Linked DNA regions of Anolis sagrei. The protein of the gene in region 1 interacts with the protein of each later gene in a pairwise test. Links are inferred from orthologs where the notes say so. Each region holds a gene or a part of one and is shown in the gene's direction. Other genes may lie near its edges.

The links. The genes of interacting proteins can lie anywhere in the genome.
Region 2: the proteins of WDR6 (region 1) and PTPN3 interact in binary tests that used the Homo sapiens proteins (3 or more experiments, as listed by UniProt). The two-hybrid records come from large-scale screens. The link is inferred for Anolis sagrei from reciprocal best matches to the Homo sapiens genes WDR6 and PTPN3.

Annotation. Positions count from the first base shown.
Region 1 is NC_090022.1:28,501,722-28,510,069, reverse strand, and holds the start of WDR6 (tRNA (34-2'-O)-methyltransferase regulator WDR6), read left to right. Parts: upstream 1-5,030; 5' UTR 5,031-5,087; intron 5,088-8,219; 5' UTR 8,220-8,281; coding exon 8,282-8,348. UniProt on the Homo sapiens protein: Together with methyltransferase FTSJ1, methylates the 2'-O-ribose of nucleotides at position 34 of the tRNA anticodon loop of substrate tRNAs. Required for the correct positioning of the substrate tRNA for methylation.
Region 2 is NC_090026.1:59,187,363-59,195,221, reverse strand, and holds the start of PTPN3 (tyrosine-protein phosphatase non-receptor type 3), read left to right. Parts: upstream 1-4,521; 5' UTR 4,522-4,526; coding exon 4,527-4,671; intron 4,672-7,859.

The DNA of each region.
Region 1 (8,348 bases):
GTTGATTAGTGCTCTGTGGTTTATGGAATCACCTTCCAGTCCTCAGACTGGTTCCAGGACTTCCTTTGTAATCTGTGTGGAGAACCTGTTTTCTTCAATATCAGTTTGTAGCTGACTTAAGTGGTCCGTGTAGATGTGCCCTCAGTTTCATAGAATGAGTGGTAATGTGTGTCTTTTTTGTCGCTGTCCTTATTGTTGTGTGCCTTGGTTAGAGGCCTGTGCAGTCTGTGACTGGCCAAGTCAAACATAGCCCACCAGCTGAGTATATTGTGATCTGGCAGAAGCTTAACATTTCTTTCTGTCCTCTGTCATCCCAGACAGTAGACAAAAGTTAGAGGTTGGGTTGCTGTAAGTTTTTGGGCTGTATGGCCATGTTCCAGAAGCATTCTTTCCTGATGTTTCGCCTGCATCTATTCATAGATGCAGGCAAAATGTTAGGAGAGAATGCTTCTGGAATATGACCATACAGCTCGAAAAACTTACAGCAACCCAGTGATTCCGGCTATCAAAGCCTTCGACGATACAAAAGTTAGAGGTTGATCAAAATCCGGGAAACCTATGTTTAACTTAGTGAGTCACAAGCTGTATAGGTCTGTGGCAAAATTATTGCGCTTTATAACTGGGTGAAGTTAATGGGGCATGTTACCACTCCACAGTCAAATTGTAGTTCCCATCCTTTGGTCTAAGTATTTTGTAGTTCAGCTTCCACAATTCCTAACAACTGGTAAGCTGGCTGGGATTTCTGGGAGTTGAAGTCCAAAAGAACCGGAGGATCAAAGGCTGGCAACCACTGAACTAGAGGAAGAGATGCCTGTCAGCCTTCTTTAAGTGAAAGAAGCAGCCCTCCCAGTCCCCAAACATGTGCCTGTAGACATCACCGACTGAATGCAATTTATGTTCATGAATTTATGATCATACACTTTAATACACTTAGTTTGCAAGGTGGGGTGGGAATCTTGAGATCCTCCAGATGTTGTTGGACTGCAACTCCTCGAATTTGTTATCTCTGGTCTGAGCTGCTGAGAGTTGCAATCCAATGCAGGGGGTGCATAATTCCCATCCTTGCTGCCTGGGACAGGGATGAAGTCACTACTATTTTGATAGGTTATTGTGAGGATGAGTAATCTTGAAGGTTCTTGTTTTTCCAAGTAATTCCAAGGTTCCTCAAATGTCATCACATAATCATTTTAGCAGTTTAGTAAGTCTAAGCAGATAAGTCTGCAAACCCTTTTTTTCGTGTCAGGACCAACTTGAGAAACTGCAAGTTGCTTCCAGTGTGAGAGATTTGGCCATCTGCAGAGTCATTGCCCAGGGACATCTGGATGTTTTGCCATCCTGTGGGAGGCTTCTTTCATGTCCCCGCATGGGAAGGTGGAGCTGACAGAGGGGAGCTCACCCCGCTCCCCGGATCTGAACCACTGACCTTTCAGTCAGCAATCCTGCCGACAAGGGTTTAACCCATTGCACCTCTGGGGACTCCATAGCCTATTGAAGTCTGTCTAATAAAGTGGTTCTCAACCTGTGGGTCTCCAGATGTTTTGGCCTTCAACTCCCAGAATCCTAACAGCTGGTAAACTGACTGGGATTTCTGGGAGTTGGAGGCCAAAACACCTGGGGATCCACAGGTTGAGAACCACTGGTCTAATAAATCTGTTAGCCCGTTGAAGTACTGTCTAATAGCAGGAAACTGTATGCTGTCTCAGACTATGGAGGAATTTTCTTCTCTGGAAGTTTTTTAAAAAGTTAGATGGCCATCTGTTGGGAGTGCTTGGATTGTGTGTTCCTGCATGGCTGAATGGGGTGGGACTGGATGGCCCTTGGGGTCTCTTCCAACTCTCTGATTCTAGACTTGGCTGAAAGGCCCTGCCTCACTTAGTACTACTGAAGTGCAAGCAAGTTGAATGCAAAAGAGATTTCTCTTCGTTGCCGTTCTTTCTGAACTAGGGCCTTGTATTTCTTTTGTGTGTATGTGTTTGCCCTAGAGCAGGCATTCACTTCTCAATTATGATATTTCCACATTACTAGCTAGTGATATGTAAACATGTAAGGGTTTTCTATTGTTTGAAGAAGCCAATAATTGGGTAGAAGTGTGTTGGCACTTTATGATTGTAATCCAAAAATACAGAAGTTCTCCTGAGGCCAGAAAGTAGCATCGATACAATGGCTTGCTTTGCCCAAAGGCATGAGATACGGACCCAAACCCACAACCGAAACCTCTTGCTGACCGTCGCTAGTCCGAGTGCCCTCACGTTGCTGGTTGCATTTATTAATTAAGTGATCAGCATTTATTTTGGTTGTTACCGTGTGTGTTCTTGACACCTTTGTATTCCTAAGTTATTTTGCTTCCTTATTTAATATTTATTTTATTTATTTATTATCCCATGCACAGACGTCAGGCTGTCTATCCTGCCAATAAAAAATTGGAAACCCAGTGTTGTCTGTTCTGTTGTTTTGAGCTCAAAGGACACCATGACTGTTCCTCAAAGACTTGCTTTATTAGACGTTCAGTGTGTAATGTTGCCAGTCTTAAATGTCAAAATACAAGCAACAACCTCTGCTGCCCCATGACATGATTTGTATGTGCTTTTTAAAGAATATGATTACACTATGTAACATAATTTTTGTTCTTGGGTTATAAATGTCATTTTCCTAATTGGTTCTATCATTTAAAATATGGAAAACGTTTATTACACTGCAAAAACATGGTTTTTGTGGGAAATCCTGCAGCACATTTTGCTATAGTTTTCAATGATTATTTCACAGACTCTCAACCAATTCAACGTAGTTTGTGGCAGCCACAAAAATGAAATTCATGGAGTAGAACTATTTTCAAAGTTAGTACTGCAGAATGAAATAGGAAATTACACTTGCAAACCCGGAACAGATTTTTTTTTTCAAATTTTCTTACATAGTGTTAGTGATGTGATGTCCACTATTAAAAACAACAGGCAAGCCATCATACTCTTTAATAATAATAATAATAATAATAATAATAATAATAATAATAATAATAATAGGATTTAAAGATCAAATTGGCACAAGCCAGTAAAGGTTGTTCCAGTGGTGACTGGCACACTGGGTGAAGCTCTTGAACACCTTGGCCTGCACTTATAAACAATCGATGCTGGCAAAATTACCATCTGTCAGCTGCAAAAGGCCACCCTACTCGGATCTGCACGCATTGTTCGCTGATACATCACACAGTCCTAGACACTTGGGAAGTGTCCCATGTGTGATCCAATAGAAAGGATAGTATAATGATCTTGTTTGCTGTGTACTCATCTTGTGTAAATAATAATAATAATAATAATAATAATAATAATAATAATAATAATAGGAGGAGGAGGAGGAGGAGGAGAGTTCCTGGGAGAAATTGAGAGCCAAATTGACAAAAGAAAAAACATGGCTGTGGCTCCCAAATGGAACTTTAAAAAAGGAGATAAAGGAGGACCTGATTCTGGCAGCCCAAGAACAAACCATTAGAACCAATGCCATCAAAGCCAGAATTGGAAAAGTCGATGACAGATCCCAAGTATAGACTCTGCAAGGAAGCAGATGAAACAATACATCACATCCTCAGCTGCTGCAAGAAGATCGCACAGACGGACTACAAGCAGAGACGTAACACTGTTGCTCAGATGATTCATTGGAACCTGTGCCACAAATACCATCTGCCTGCGACAAAGAACTGGTGGGATCACAAGCTGGAAAAAGTTATAGAGAATGAACACGTCAAAGTACTCTGGGACTTCTGAGTTCAGACTGACAGAGTTTTGGAGCATAATACTCCTGATCTCACGATCATGTTAAAAAACAGTGTGGATCTCCGATGTTGGAATCCCAGGTGACAGCAGAGTTGAAGAGAAACAACTGGAAAAGCTAAGACAATATGAAGATTTAAAGATCAAATTGCAAAGACTCTGGCACAAGCCAGTAAAGGTAGTCCCAGTGGTGATGGGAACACTGGGTGCAGTGCCTAAAGACCTTGGCCTGCACTTAAACACAATCAGCACTGACAAGATTACCATCTGCCAGCTGCAGAAGGCCACCTTACTGGGATCTGCACGCATCATTTGCCGATACATCACACAGTCCTAGACACTTGGGAAGTGTCCGAAGTGTGATCCAATACAACAACCAACAGAGATCTTGTTTGCTGTGGACTCATCTTGTTATGTTTCTAATAATGATAATAATAATAATAATAATAATAATAATAATAGACAAACAACTGGAAAAGTTGACACAGTACGAAGATTTAAAGATAGAACTGCAAAAACTGTCACAGGTCAGTAAAGGTGGTCTCAGTGGTGATTGGCACACTGGGTGCAGTGCCTAAAGACCTTGGCCTGCACTTAAAAACAACCAGCGCTGACAAAATTACCATCTGCCAGCTGCAAAGGGCCACCCAACTTGGATCTGCACGCATTATTCGCTGATACATCACACAGTCCTAGACACTTGGGAAGTGACTGATGTGTGATGCAATAAAAAGGCCAGTATAGTGATCTTGTTTGCTGTGTACTAATCTTGTTGTGTATCTGTTATGTATCTAATAATAATCTTGTTGTGTATCTAATCACAATAGTAATGTTTTATGTAGGTGTCTCTCATCCTAATAATCTGCTTGTGTATCTAATAACAATAATAATGTTTTATTTAGGTGTCTTTACACTATAGAATGAATGCAGCTTGACACCCACTGATTTTAACAGGTGTGTGTTAATTGTTTTAATTATTAATATTTTAATATTTTAATGTATTGTTGATTGTTTTATTATGATGACACTCCCCCCCCCCCTCGGGAGTGAGAAGGGCGGGGTATAAATATAGGAAATAAATAAAATAAATGTAGTTAAAGTGATATCCAACTGCATTCCCTCTTTGCAACAATGCTTCTGCTGCACCTTTAAAAGCTCCTCGTCCCGCCTCTCCGGGTCTGAACGCCCGTCGAATCACAGCGCAAGGATGAACGACCTTGGGAGACCCAGCGTCCAATCACATTCCGCGTTGGGATGAGAACTGGAAAAGAAGACTCGCGATTGGCTCGTGAGCTGCTTTCGCCAGAGGAGCGCGCGCCGGGCCAGGTAACAAGCGCGTGGGGCCTTTTAAAGGGGAAGGGGCGCTGCGAGGAGGACCCCCCCCCCTTCAGGGTCTTAAATTGCCCTTTGGCTCTGGGCTTGTTTCCAGACTATACTTGAGCCCCTGTTTCGTTTCCTGTAAATGTAAAGGGACTCTGGGTTGCAAGGGTGCAGAATTAATACAGTTTGGCACCACCAATGACTGAATGCTATGGTATTCTGGGAGTTGTAGTTTTGCAAGGCCTTTAGGCTTCTCTGTACCCAAAGTACAAATCCCAGAACTCCTCTGACTGTGAGCCAATCTGGCAGGGTCTTGGTTGTGTTTTGTTTTGGAGCAGAAGGACCACATTTTGGGAATCTATCAAGCATGGGCAGACTTGGGCCCTCCAGGTGTTTTGGACTTCAACTCCCACAATTCCCAACAGCTGTGCTTCTTGTAGGTTACAGCACAGTCCAGGATAATAGTCCAGAAGCAACTGCTGACTACTTCTTTAACTCTAGATCACTGCTTCTTAAACTGGGATCCATCCCCAAGTGGAGTCCTCTTAGCTCAATGCTGAAAAACTTGGCAAAGGTAAAAGGTTTCTGATCATCACCCATTTGCACAAATCTGTTAGCAACAAGGGGCAGTGTTTATAGTGGACTCTGCAGAAAATGCTTCAGCTGTACTCCACCAAAAAGATAATCAGCCTGTTTAGCTAGTCTTGCAAATGCTGGTTTAGTATCAGGAAATATTTGATTTCTGTACCTAATTTACATAACTATATACCTGGGCTCATGTGAAAACTTCTTTATGGTTTTTAATGTAGATGTTTATTTTATTTGTATGTCTGCTTATGTGGCATTGAATTGTTGCCTACTTGTAAGGCGCAGTGAGTCCCCTTCAAGGTGCAAGAAGGCGGGGTATAAATATAGGGGTTTGTTTTTTTTGTCGTGTCAGGAGAGACTTGAGAATCTGCAAGTCACTTCTGGTGTGAGAGAATGGGCCGTCTGCAAGGACATTGCCCAGGGGACGCCCAGATGATTTGATGTTTTTATCATCCTTGTTGGAGGCTTCTCTCATGTCCCCGCATGAGGAGCTGGAGCTGATAGAAGGAGCTCATCTGCCTCTCCCCAGATTTGAACCTGCAACCTGTCAGTCTTCAGTCCTGCCGGCACAGGGGTTTAACCCACTGCGCCACCAGGGGCTCCACCAAAAAGATAATCAACCTGTTTAGCTAGTCTTGCAAATGCTGGTTTAGTATCAGGAAATATTTGATTTTTTTACCTAATTTACATAACCATATACCTGGGCTCAAGTATTTATTTGTCGTGTCAGGGCAACCAGTCAATTGTATTACATTTCTAACAGAACAAAGCAAACAAAACAGACAAAGTACAGAATTGTGAGTTTGGTAGTTGATTAAATGTCCTTTGACCAGTATCTGGCCACTTGGAGTCCTTCTGGTGTTTCTGCAAGAAGGTCCTCCATTGTGCATGTGGCAGGGCTCAGGTTGCATTGCAGCAGGTGGTCTGTGGTTTGCTCTTCTCCACACTCGCATGTCGAGGATTCCACTTTGTAGCCCCATTTCTGAAGGTTGGCTCTGCATCTCGTGGTGCCAGAGAACAGTCAGTTCAGCGCCTTCCAAGTCGCCCAGTCTTCTGAGTGCCCAGGGGGGAGTCTCTCATTTGGTATCAGCCATTGGTTGAGGTTCTGGGTTTGAGCCTGCCATTTTTGGACTCTCGCTTGCTGAGGTGTTCCAGCGAGTATCTCTGTAGATCTTAGAAAAGATCTAGTAAAAACTTCTCAGGCAGATGTTTTTTACCCTTATGGTAGATATTTATTTTATTTGTATATCTGCTTATGTGGCATTGAATTGTTGCAGGGTAGAAGTGTCTGAAATAAATAAATAAATACTTGTAAGGTGCTGTGAGTTCCCTTCAAGGTGAGAGAAGGCGGGGTATAAATATAGTAAATATAGCAAATATAGTAAATGGTCTGGTTGCCCCTGACATGATAAATGAATGAAAAAATATAGTAAATACTGATAAATAAATAGTTTAAGAATAGTTGTTTGCTGTGTACTCATCTTGTGTATATAATAATAATAATAATAATAATAATAATAGGATGAGGAGGGGAGTTCCTGGGAAAAATTGAGAGCCAAATTGACAAAGAAAAAACATGGCTGTGGCCCCCAAATTGAACTCTGAAAAAGGAGATGGAGGGCCTGATCCTGCTCTAGATCATAAAGGGGGATGTGAGTACTCTAGCTAATGTTGAACTACAATTTCCATTATCACTGACCATAAGCTCTGCAGGTTGGGACTGATATGAAGAGGGCCCGAGCTTCCTCTCCTCTAAATTGTTCTTATTTTCTAAGGCGATAAACAGCATATTCCTTAATCCAATCTTTTTTGAAATCCAGAATCTCCATAACCTTTTGGAGAAAAATGTCATTCCCAACCATTTGAAAATAATAACCTTTTTGCAAAAGTATGATCTTCCAAAGAGAAGCCAAAAACCTCATTTGAGTAAAATCTTCTCTTCAGTGGTATATAATCACATGTACTTATGCAAGGCAATTTGGTTTCCAGTTTTTAGACTGATAACCCGGTTGTCTCTCATCTGTTAGGAACAGAGGTTATGCCAATACACAAAATATAGCAGTTCTTGGGTGCACAAAAATACCTCTACTCTCCCATAAAATATCTTGTTTCTATATCATGCTCTCAAGATTTTGTTAAAAGTGATATATTTGGTTTACTCATATCCTTCATGTATTCAGCATACAGGTACATAGCTTGTTAATCCAGTTACAGATAGGTCTAAAAGTAGTTTCTCTGTGCATATAACACAGGGCATCTTTCTTACAATCAACAGCATCATGAGTTTGCTCGTAACAGTCCATAGTCTAATGGTGTTTCTGCTCTAAAATGGAGACTGAGCTCTGAGCAGTCCCAGATCTGGAGCCCCTCCCACAACCTCAAGAAACATAGAGTAAAGGGAAAGCTGCATATCAAAACATACAAATATAATACAGTAAACAAACCAAATCCTATACAAACAAATTACTAGTGTGATATTGAAGAAGGTTGCTATTTTCAACAAATCTGAATCAATGCATATCTACAACATTGCCACCTCTCTCTCCTCAGACGTCTGCATGTCCTGAGAAAGACAACTATCCAAGGTCCTCTCTTTCCCTCCTTCGGGCGCAATGGAAACAGAACTGCTCCTGGCCCCTATCACTGCTTTGGAGATTGTGGGAGATCACCTTGTGGCAG
Region 2 (7,859 bases), on another chromosome or scaffold:
TGGATCACATTGGACTCATCAGTGAAAGTTGTAATTGCTTTGTATCTTTTGGGATGGCAGTATGTTATAGACGCTATTCCAGGGGTCAGGAACCTTCGGCTCTCCAGGTGTGGTGGACTTCAACTCCCACAATTCCTTGAGGCTCGGCATTCACCCCAAAGGCTTACCTTGGCCTCAAGGAATTGTGGGAGTTGAAGTCCACCACACCTGGAGAGCCGAAGGTTCCCCATGCCTGCGCTATTCAAAGCTATTTATTTTCTATCCCGCCATTTAAGGGGAAAGATGTACCTATTGCTGCACCTTCCTGTCTGAAACAGTCAACAAGGTTAGGTTTCGTTGCTCAAATATTCAAACTACTCCTTTGTGAATAAATCAAATTAGTTCCTGTAGTCTTGTAGTAAAACAAACTATGAAAGTTATATAATCTTTTAAATGCCTACCTGCCACAAAAATGGGCAGACTTGTGACTGATTTATGATATTCTGTGCTTTGAGGGAGTGGGATGTCAAGTTTCTCTGCCCTCAGGAAAAGAATTTGTGAAAAGCCTGTGCTCACAACTAGTCCCCATATCCAGTGAGTGAAATGAAGCCAGAAAGCTTTTACTATTATCTTTCTCACACATAAACACACATAAACATACACAAAAAGAACAATGCAGAGGTGCAAGTCCTACTTTCCCACTTCATTAGGAGTGAACTGTCAGCTACTTTTAAAAAAATGCAAAAATAGTATTTTTGGAGGAGTTACATAGTGATCTCAGAATGGATTTTTTTCTTCTTCCAGTGTCAACCAAAGTAGTTTCCAACACTTATATTCCAAAAATATTGCATGTGTTTCTATCATATCCATAACATACAATAACACAATCATCTTGTGTCCTTACACCAGTAGGGATTTTCTTGTTTTTCTTGCTGTGCTTTCAACTCTGAAAGTATAAAACTAAAGACTTAAATGGATCTTGTCTCAGGGTTATGCTAAATTTCCCTGCACATTGAGGATTCCCCTTGTCATCCTTCTTGTACCTTCAAGAAACAAAACACATACTTACAGAATATAAACTCTTAAAGTAAAAGGTAAACAGCTAAGAGTCCTGATGCCATTCATGCCTCCTCACAGCTTTCAACTTGGGCTCCCATCCCACTAAACCAACACATTAAAAAAATGTTATTCAATAGCAAGAATGGGGTAAGAAAACCATGGAAAATGGTATCACTAGAGGGCACGAGTACCATTCTAAGAAAGGAAATTTTTATACGGTACTTACTTGACCTACTTCCATTTACAGCTAAAAAAAGACTCGGAGATGTTTGCAGCGAACAAAGATAAGACATAATGCAAAAGAAAAAAGGATGCAAGGGTTTGAGAGGGATAAAAAGCAAACTAGTTCTTAGCTACCATTTTATTATAATAATTAGCTGTCCCCTGCCACACGTTGCTGTGGCCCAGTCTGGTGATCTGGAAAATAAAGTAATGAGAAAGTGTTGGTTTCTAATATATATAATTTCTTTAGGCTTGTGAGTAAACAGTATTTCTTGTTGTTTCTTTGTCAGTGTTGATGTGGAGAGTGTCTGGTTTGCCTACTCTGTAATATGGAACATATCATAGTCCTTCTTTAAGGGTCTCTTTCAAATCCATGATACTATATCTGTGTGTGTGAGAGAGAATCATATCTATCTATCTATATTTATGACTGGATGGCTCTTTGTCAGGAGGGTTCTGATTACATTTTCTTGCCCTGGTGAAGAGAGTTGGACTGGATGGCCTTAAGTATTTTCCGTTGGCCATGGGGTTCCCGAGTGGGAAGTTTGCCCCATTTCTGTCGTTTGTGGGTTTCAGAATGCTCTTTAATTGTAGTGAACTATAAATCCTAGTAACTACAAACCCCAAATGTCAAGGTCTATTTCCTCCAAACTCCATCTGTGTTCATATTTGGGCATATGGAATTTTTGTGTCAAGTTTGGTCCAGATCCATCATTGTTTGAGTCCACAGTGCTCTCTGGATGTATGTGAACTACAACTCCCAAACTCAAAGTCAATGTCCAGTGTGTTCCATTGGTCATGGAAGTCCTGTATGCCATGTTTGGTTCAATTCCATCATTGGTGGAGTTCAGAATGCTCTTTGATTGTAGGTGAACTATAAATCCCAGCAACTACAACTGCCAAATGTCAAGGTCTATTTCCCTTAAACTCCACCTGTGTTCATATTTGGACATATGGAATATTCGTGCCAAGTTTGGTCCAGATCCATCATTGTTTGAGTCCACAGTGCTCTCTGGATGTGGGTGAACTTCAATTTCCAAACTCAAGGTCAATGTCCACCAAACCCTTCCAGTTTTTTCTGTTGGTCCCTTTGTGCTAAGATTGGCCCAATTCCATCATTGGTGGAGTTCAGAATGCTCTTTGATTGTAGGTAAACTATAAATCCCAGCAACGACAATTCCCAAATGACAAAATCAATTTTTTTGAGTGGAGGACATACATTGGGTTGTTAGGTGTCTTGTGTCCAAATTTGGTGTCAATTCCCCCAGTGGTTTTTGAGTTCTGATGGTACCACAAACGAACATGACATTTTTATTTATATAGATGTTTGTTATATTTGTTATTCTGTATTTTATGATGTGGCATTGAATTATTGCCAATTTTAAACCGCCCTGAGTCCCCCCAGGGGTTGAGAAGGGCGGGGTAAAAATGTTCGACATAAATAAATAAACAAATCCAGTTCAAAGCAGACATTGTGGGTTATCTGCTATAATATATGATATTGGTTGCCTTAGTGGATGATCTGCGCCTGGAGCTCGACAGGGGGAGTGTGTCCCTGTTGGTGCTGCTGGACCTCTCAGCGGCCTTCGATACCGTTGACCACGGTATCCTTCTGGGATGCCTCGCGGGGATGGGTCTTGGAGGTACTGTTTTGCAGTGGCTCCGGTCATTCCTAGAGGGTCGATCTCAGAAGGTGTTGTTGGGGACACCTGTTCAACCCCACAACCATTGTCTTGTGGGGTTCCTCAGGGCTCAATATTGTCTCCCATGTTGTTTAACATCTACATGAAGCCGCTGGGGGAGATCATCCGGAGTTTCGGGGTACGATGTCATCTGTACGCGGATGATGTCCAACTCTGTCACTCCTTTCCACCTGCTACTAAGGAGGCTGTCCAGGTCCTGAACCGGTGCTTGGCCGCTGTGACGGTCTGGATGAGGGCGAACAAATTGAAATTGAATCCAGACAAGACAGAGGTACTCCTGGTCAGTCGCAAGGCCGAACAGGGCATAGGGTTACAGCCTGTGTTGGATGGGGCCGCACTCCCCCTGAAGGCGCAGGTTCTCAGCTTGGGTGTGACCCTGGACTCATCGCTGAGCCTGGAACCCCAGGTTTCGGCGGTGACCAGGGGAGCATTTGCACAGCTAAAGCTTGTGCGCCAGCTGCGCCCGTACCTTGGGAAGTCTGACTTGGCCATGGTAGTCCACGCTCTGGTTACATCCCGTTTAGACTACTGCAACGCTCTCTACGTGGGGTTGCCTTTGAAGACTGCTCGGAAGCTCCAACTAGTCCAACGCTCAGCAGCCATGATTTTAACAGGAGTGGAGCGCAGGGAGCATACAACCCCCCTGTTGCCCCAACTCCACTGGCTACCGATCTGCTACCGGGCTGAATTCAAAGTGCTGGCGTTGGCCTTTAAAGCCCTAAACGGTTCCAGCCCAAGCTACCTATCCGACCGCATCTCTGCCTATGAACCCACCAGGACTTTGAGATCTTCCAGGGAGACCCTGCTCTCGATCCCGCCTGCTTCTCAAGCTCGGCTGGCGGGGACAAGAGATAGGGCCTTCTCGGTGGTGGCTCCTCGGCTGTGGAACGCCCTTCCTACGGACATTAGACTAGCACCATCTCTAATGGTATTCCGCAAAAAAAGTGAAGACCTGGCTGTTTGAGCAGGCGTTCCAATAATTAGTGCAATGATTGGTTAATGAACACTGGAATGGAACAATGGATGACGAATCTGGAACATGTTTTTGATGACGAGACGACAGTGAATGGGTATTGTAGTAACTGTTTATTAATTGTGTAATGTGTTAGGTTGTTAACTGTTTCTATACTATAGCACTGAATTTTTGCTGTTCGTATTTGTTGTGAACCGCTGTGAGTCGCCTTCGGGCTGAGAACAGCGGTATATAAGTAAGGTAAATAAATAAATAAACAATATTCTGGGTTATATGGTTGTGTGGAAGGGCCCTTCACTCCCCTCTGATGATTCCTGAGGCCCACAAGCGTCTCTCTTGTTTTCCTTCATGCAAAAGCGCGTCACCAGCAAAAAAACGTTTTGGAGCGTTCAAAGGGCGCTCACTTCCTGGTGTAAACTGGGGACAGCATTGAAGAGATAAACAGCCCCCCTGCTCCCGCCTTCCTTTGCCCGGCGTTGGCGCGAGGCGGGCGTTGTTCCCACAGCTGGAGCCCTTCCCACGCGGCGTTCTAAGGCCAGCTCCCAGGAAACGCGTGTTGACCGCTGGGGGGCGCCCCGCGAGCGCGTGAGATGGGGCCGAGGTGGGAGGCGCGTGGAAGGAGAGGGCTGGCTTTGCCTCCGCTTCGCCCCGCAGCAGAGCGCTTCCTGGTCTCGTGGTCAGCCGCAGGTGGAAGGCACAGGGTCCCCGAGCCCCCTCCCCACAGCAGGCAGGCAGGTAGGTAGCAAGCAAGCGGGAGGGTTGTGAGCTGGAGCTGGAGCGGCCGGAGGAGGAGGGGAGGGAGCGGAAGGAGGAAAGTTGGCCAAGCCAGAAGCATTTCTTCCTGGGGCCCCGCCCTCAGTTGAGGGAATCGGGTGAGAGGCGGGGGGAGGGGCTTTGGTTTCCTGATCCCATTGGGGACCCCAGCAGGGAACATGGCAAGATGAAAAATAGTCTGATTGGAATTCCCCCCCCCCCCCCCCCCCAGGACCCAAGTGTACAGGGCAAATTGTATGGGAGAAGGCGATCCTGCAGGTCATCTGGATCCAAACCATGTAGACCAGGGGTCCTCAAACACTTCAAACAGATAGGAGCATAGTGTCTAGATCTAAGGAAGTAATGCTACCCCTCTATTCTGCTTTGGTTAGACCACATCTGGAATATTGTGTCCAATTCTGGGCACCACAATTCAAGAGAGATATTGACAAGCTGGAATGTGTCCAGAGGAGGGCGACTAAAATGATCAAGGGTCTGGAGAACAAGCCCTATGAGGAGCGGCTTAGGGAACTGGGCATGTTTAGCCTGAAGAAGAGAAGGCTGAGAGGAGATATGATAGCCATGTATAAATATGTGAGAGGAAGCCACAGGGAGGAGGGAGCAAGCTTGTTTTCTGCTTCCTTGGAGACTAGGACGCAGAACAATGGCTTCAAACTACAAGAGAGGAGATTCCATCTGAACATTAGGAAGAACTTCCTGACTGTGAGAGCCGTTCAGCAGTGGAACTTTCTGCCCCGGAGTGTGGTGGAGGCTCCTTCTTTGGAAGCTTTTAAGCAGAGGCTGGATGGCCATTTGTCAGGGGTGATTTGAATGCAATATTCCTGCTTCTTGGCAGGGGGTTGGACTGGATGGCCCATGAGGTCTCTTCCAACTCTTTGATTCTATGAGTGCCAGGTCACAGTCCCTCAAACTGTTGGAGGGCCGGATTATAATTAGAAAAAAACTTGAATGAATTCCTATGCACACTGCACATATCTTATTTGTAGTGCAAAAAAACACTTTAAAACAATACAATAATTAAAATGAAGAACAATTTTAACAAATATTAGTGGTCCCCTGCCACGCGTTGCTGTGGCCCAGTCTGGTGATCTGGAAAATAAAGTAATGAGAAAGTGTTGGTTTCCAATATATGTAATGTCTTTCTGCTTGTGGGTAAACAGTATTTCTTGCTGTTTCTTTGCCAGTGTTGATGTCTGGTTTGCCTACTCTGGAACATACAACATATCATTGTCCTTCTTTAGGGATCCCTTTCAAATTTTTGATACTGCATCTGTCATATACACATATGTGTGTGTGTGGATGGCCCTTTGTCAGGAGGGCTATGTTTATGTTTTCTTGCCTTGGTGAAGGGAGTTGGATTGGATGGCCTTCAGGCAGCATTTTTCAACCTGGGGTTTGGGACCCTTTGGGGGTTGCGAGGAGGTGTCAGAAGGGTTGCCGAAGACCACCAGAAAACACAGTATTTTCTGTTGGTCATGAGGGTTCTGTGTGGGAAGTTTGCCCCAATTCTGTCATTGGTGGGCTTCAGAATGCTCCTTGATTGTAGGTGAACTATAAATCCCAGTAACTACAACTCCCAAATGTCAAGGTCTGTTTTCCCCAAACTCCATCTGTGTTTATGTTTGGGCATATTGAGTATTCGTGCCAAGTATGGTCCAGATCCATCATTGTTTGAGTCCACAGTGCTCTCTAGATGTTCAATTCCATCGTTGTTTGGTTCAATTTCATCATTGGTGGAGTCCAGAATGCTCTTTGATTATAGGTAAACTATAAATCCCAGCAACTATAACTCCCAAATGACAAAATCATAATTTTTGAGTGATGGTCACTCCTATTGTGAGACGTTTTGTGGCCAAATTTGGTGTGATTTCATTCATTGGTTTTTTTGTTTTTTGTTTTTAGGGTACTGATTATGCACAGAGCATTTATATATATATACTAGCTTGGGGACCCGGCATTGCCCAGGTTATTAGAGAAAGTGGGTAATAGTGGTTCTGTATGCCAAGTTTGGTCTTTATTGGTCTTTGGATAACGGCTGCATTATTTTCAGGAAGTGAGTGAAGGTACTTGAAGTCCCATCATCCATGGCCCATCCTCCTACAAACAGCAGCAGGATATAGAGTGGGTCATGGGGGCTCTGTGTGCCAAGTTTGGTCTTTATCAGTCATTAGATGAGGGTGGCATTGGTGTCATTAAGTGAGTGAAGGTACTTGAAGTCCCATCATCCAAAGTCCATCCTCTTTCAAACTGCAGCAGGATGTAGAGTGGATCATGGGGGCTCTGTGTGCCAAGTTTGGTCTTGATTGGTCATTAGAAGAGTGTTGCAGCAATCTTCGGAAGGGAGTGGAGGTACTTGAAGTCCCATCATCCATGGTCTGTCCTCCTCCAAACTGCACCAGGATGTAGAGTCGGTCATTGGAGTTCCATGTGCCAAGTTTAGTCTTGATTAGTCATTGGCTAGGGTCTCAGTGGTCTCAGGAAGTGAGCAAAGGTACTTCAAGTCCCATCATCCATCTCCAAATTTTTCCAAACAACACCAGGACGTAAAGTGGGTCATGAGAGGTCTATGTGCCAAGTTTGGTCTTGATCTGTCATTGGATGAGGTTTGCAGAGGTCTCAGAATGTGAGTGAAGGTACTGGAAGTTCCATCATCCATGGTCAACCCTCCTCCAAAACTGCAGCAGGATGTAGAGTGGGTCATGGGGGCTCTGTGTGCCAACTTTGGTCTTGATTGGTCATTAGATGAGATTGCAGCAGTCTTGGGGAGTGGAGGTACTTGAAGTCCCATCATCCATGATCTGTCCTCCTCCAAAGTGCACCAGGATGTAGAGTGGGTCACTGGAGCTCCATGTGCCAAGTTTAGTCTTGATTGGTCATTGGCGAGGGTCTCAGTGGTCTCAGGAAGTGAGTGAAGTGACTGCAAGTCCCATCATCCATTGTCAAATTCTTCCAAACCGCACCAGGATGTAGAGTGGGTCATGCTGGGTCTCTGTGTAAATTGTGGTCCTGATCCATCATTGTTGGCAGTCGTAATGGTCTTAGGAAGGGAGTGCAGGTATTGCAAGTCCCATTGTCCATGGTGCATCCTCCTTCAAACTGCACCTGGATGTAGAGTGTGTCATGGTGTCTCAGTGTGCCAAGTTTGGTAT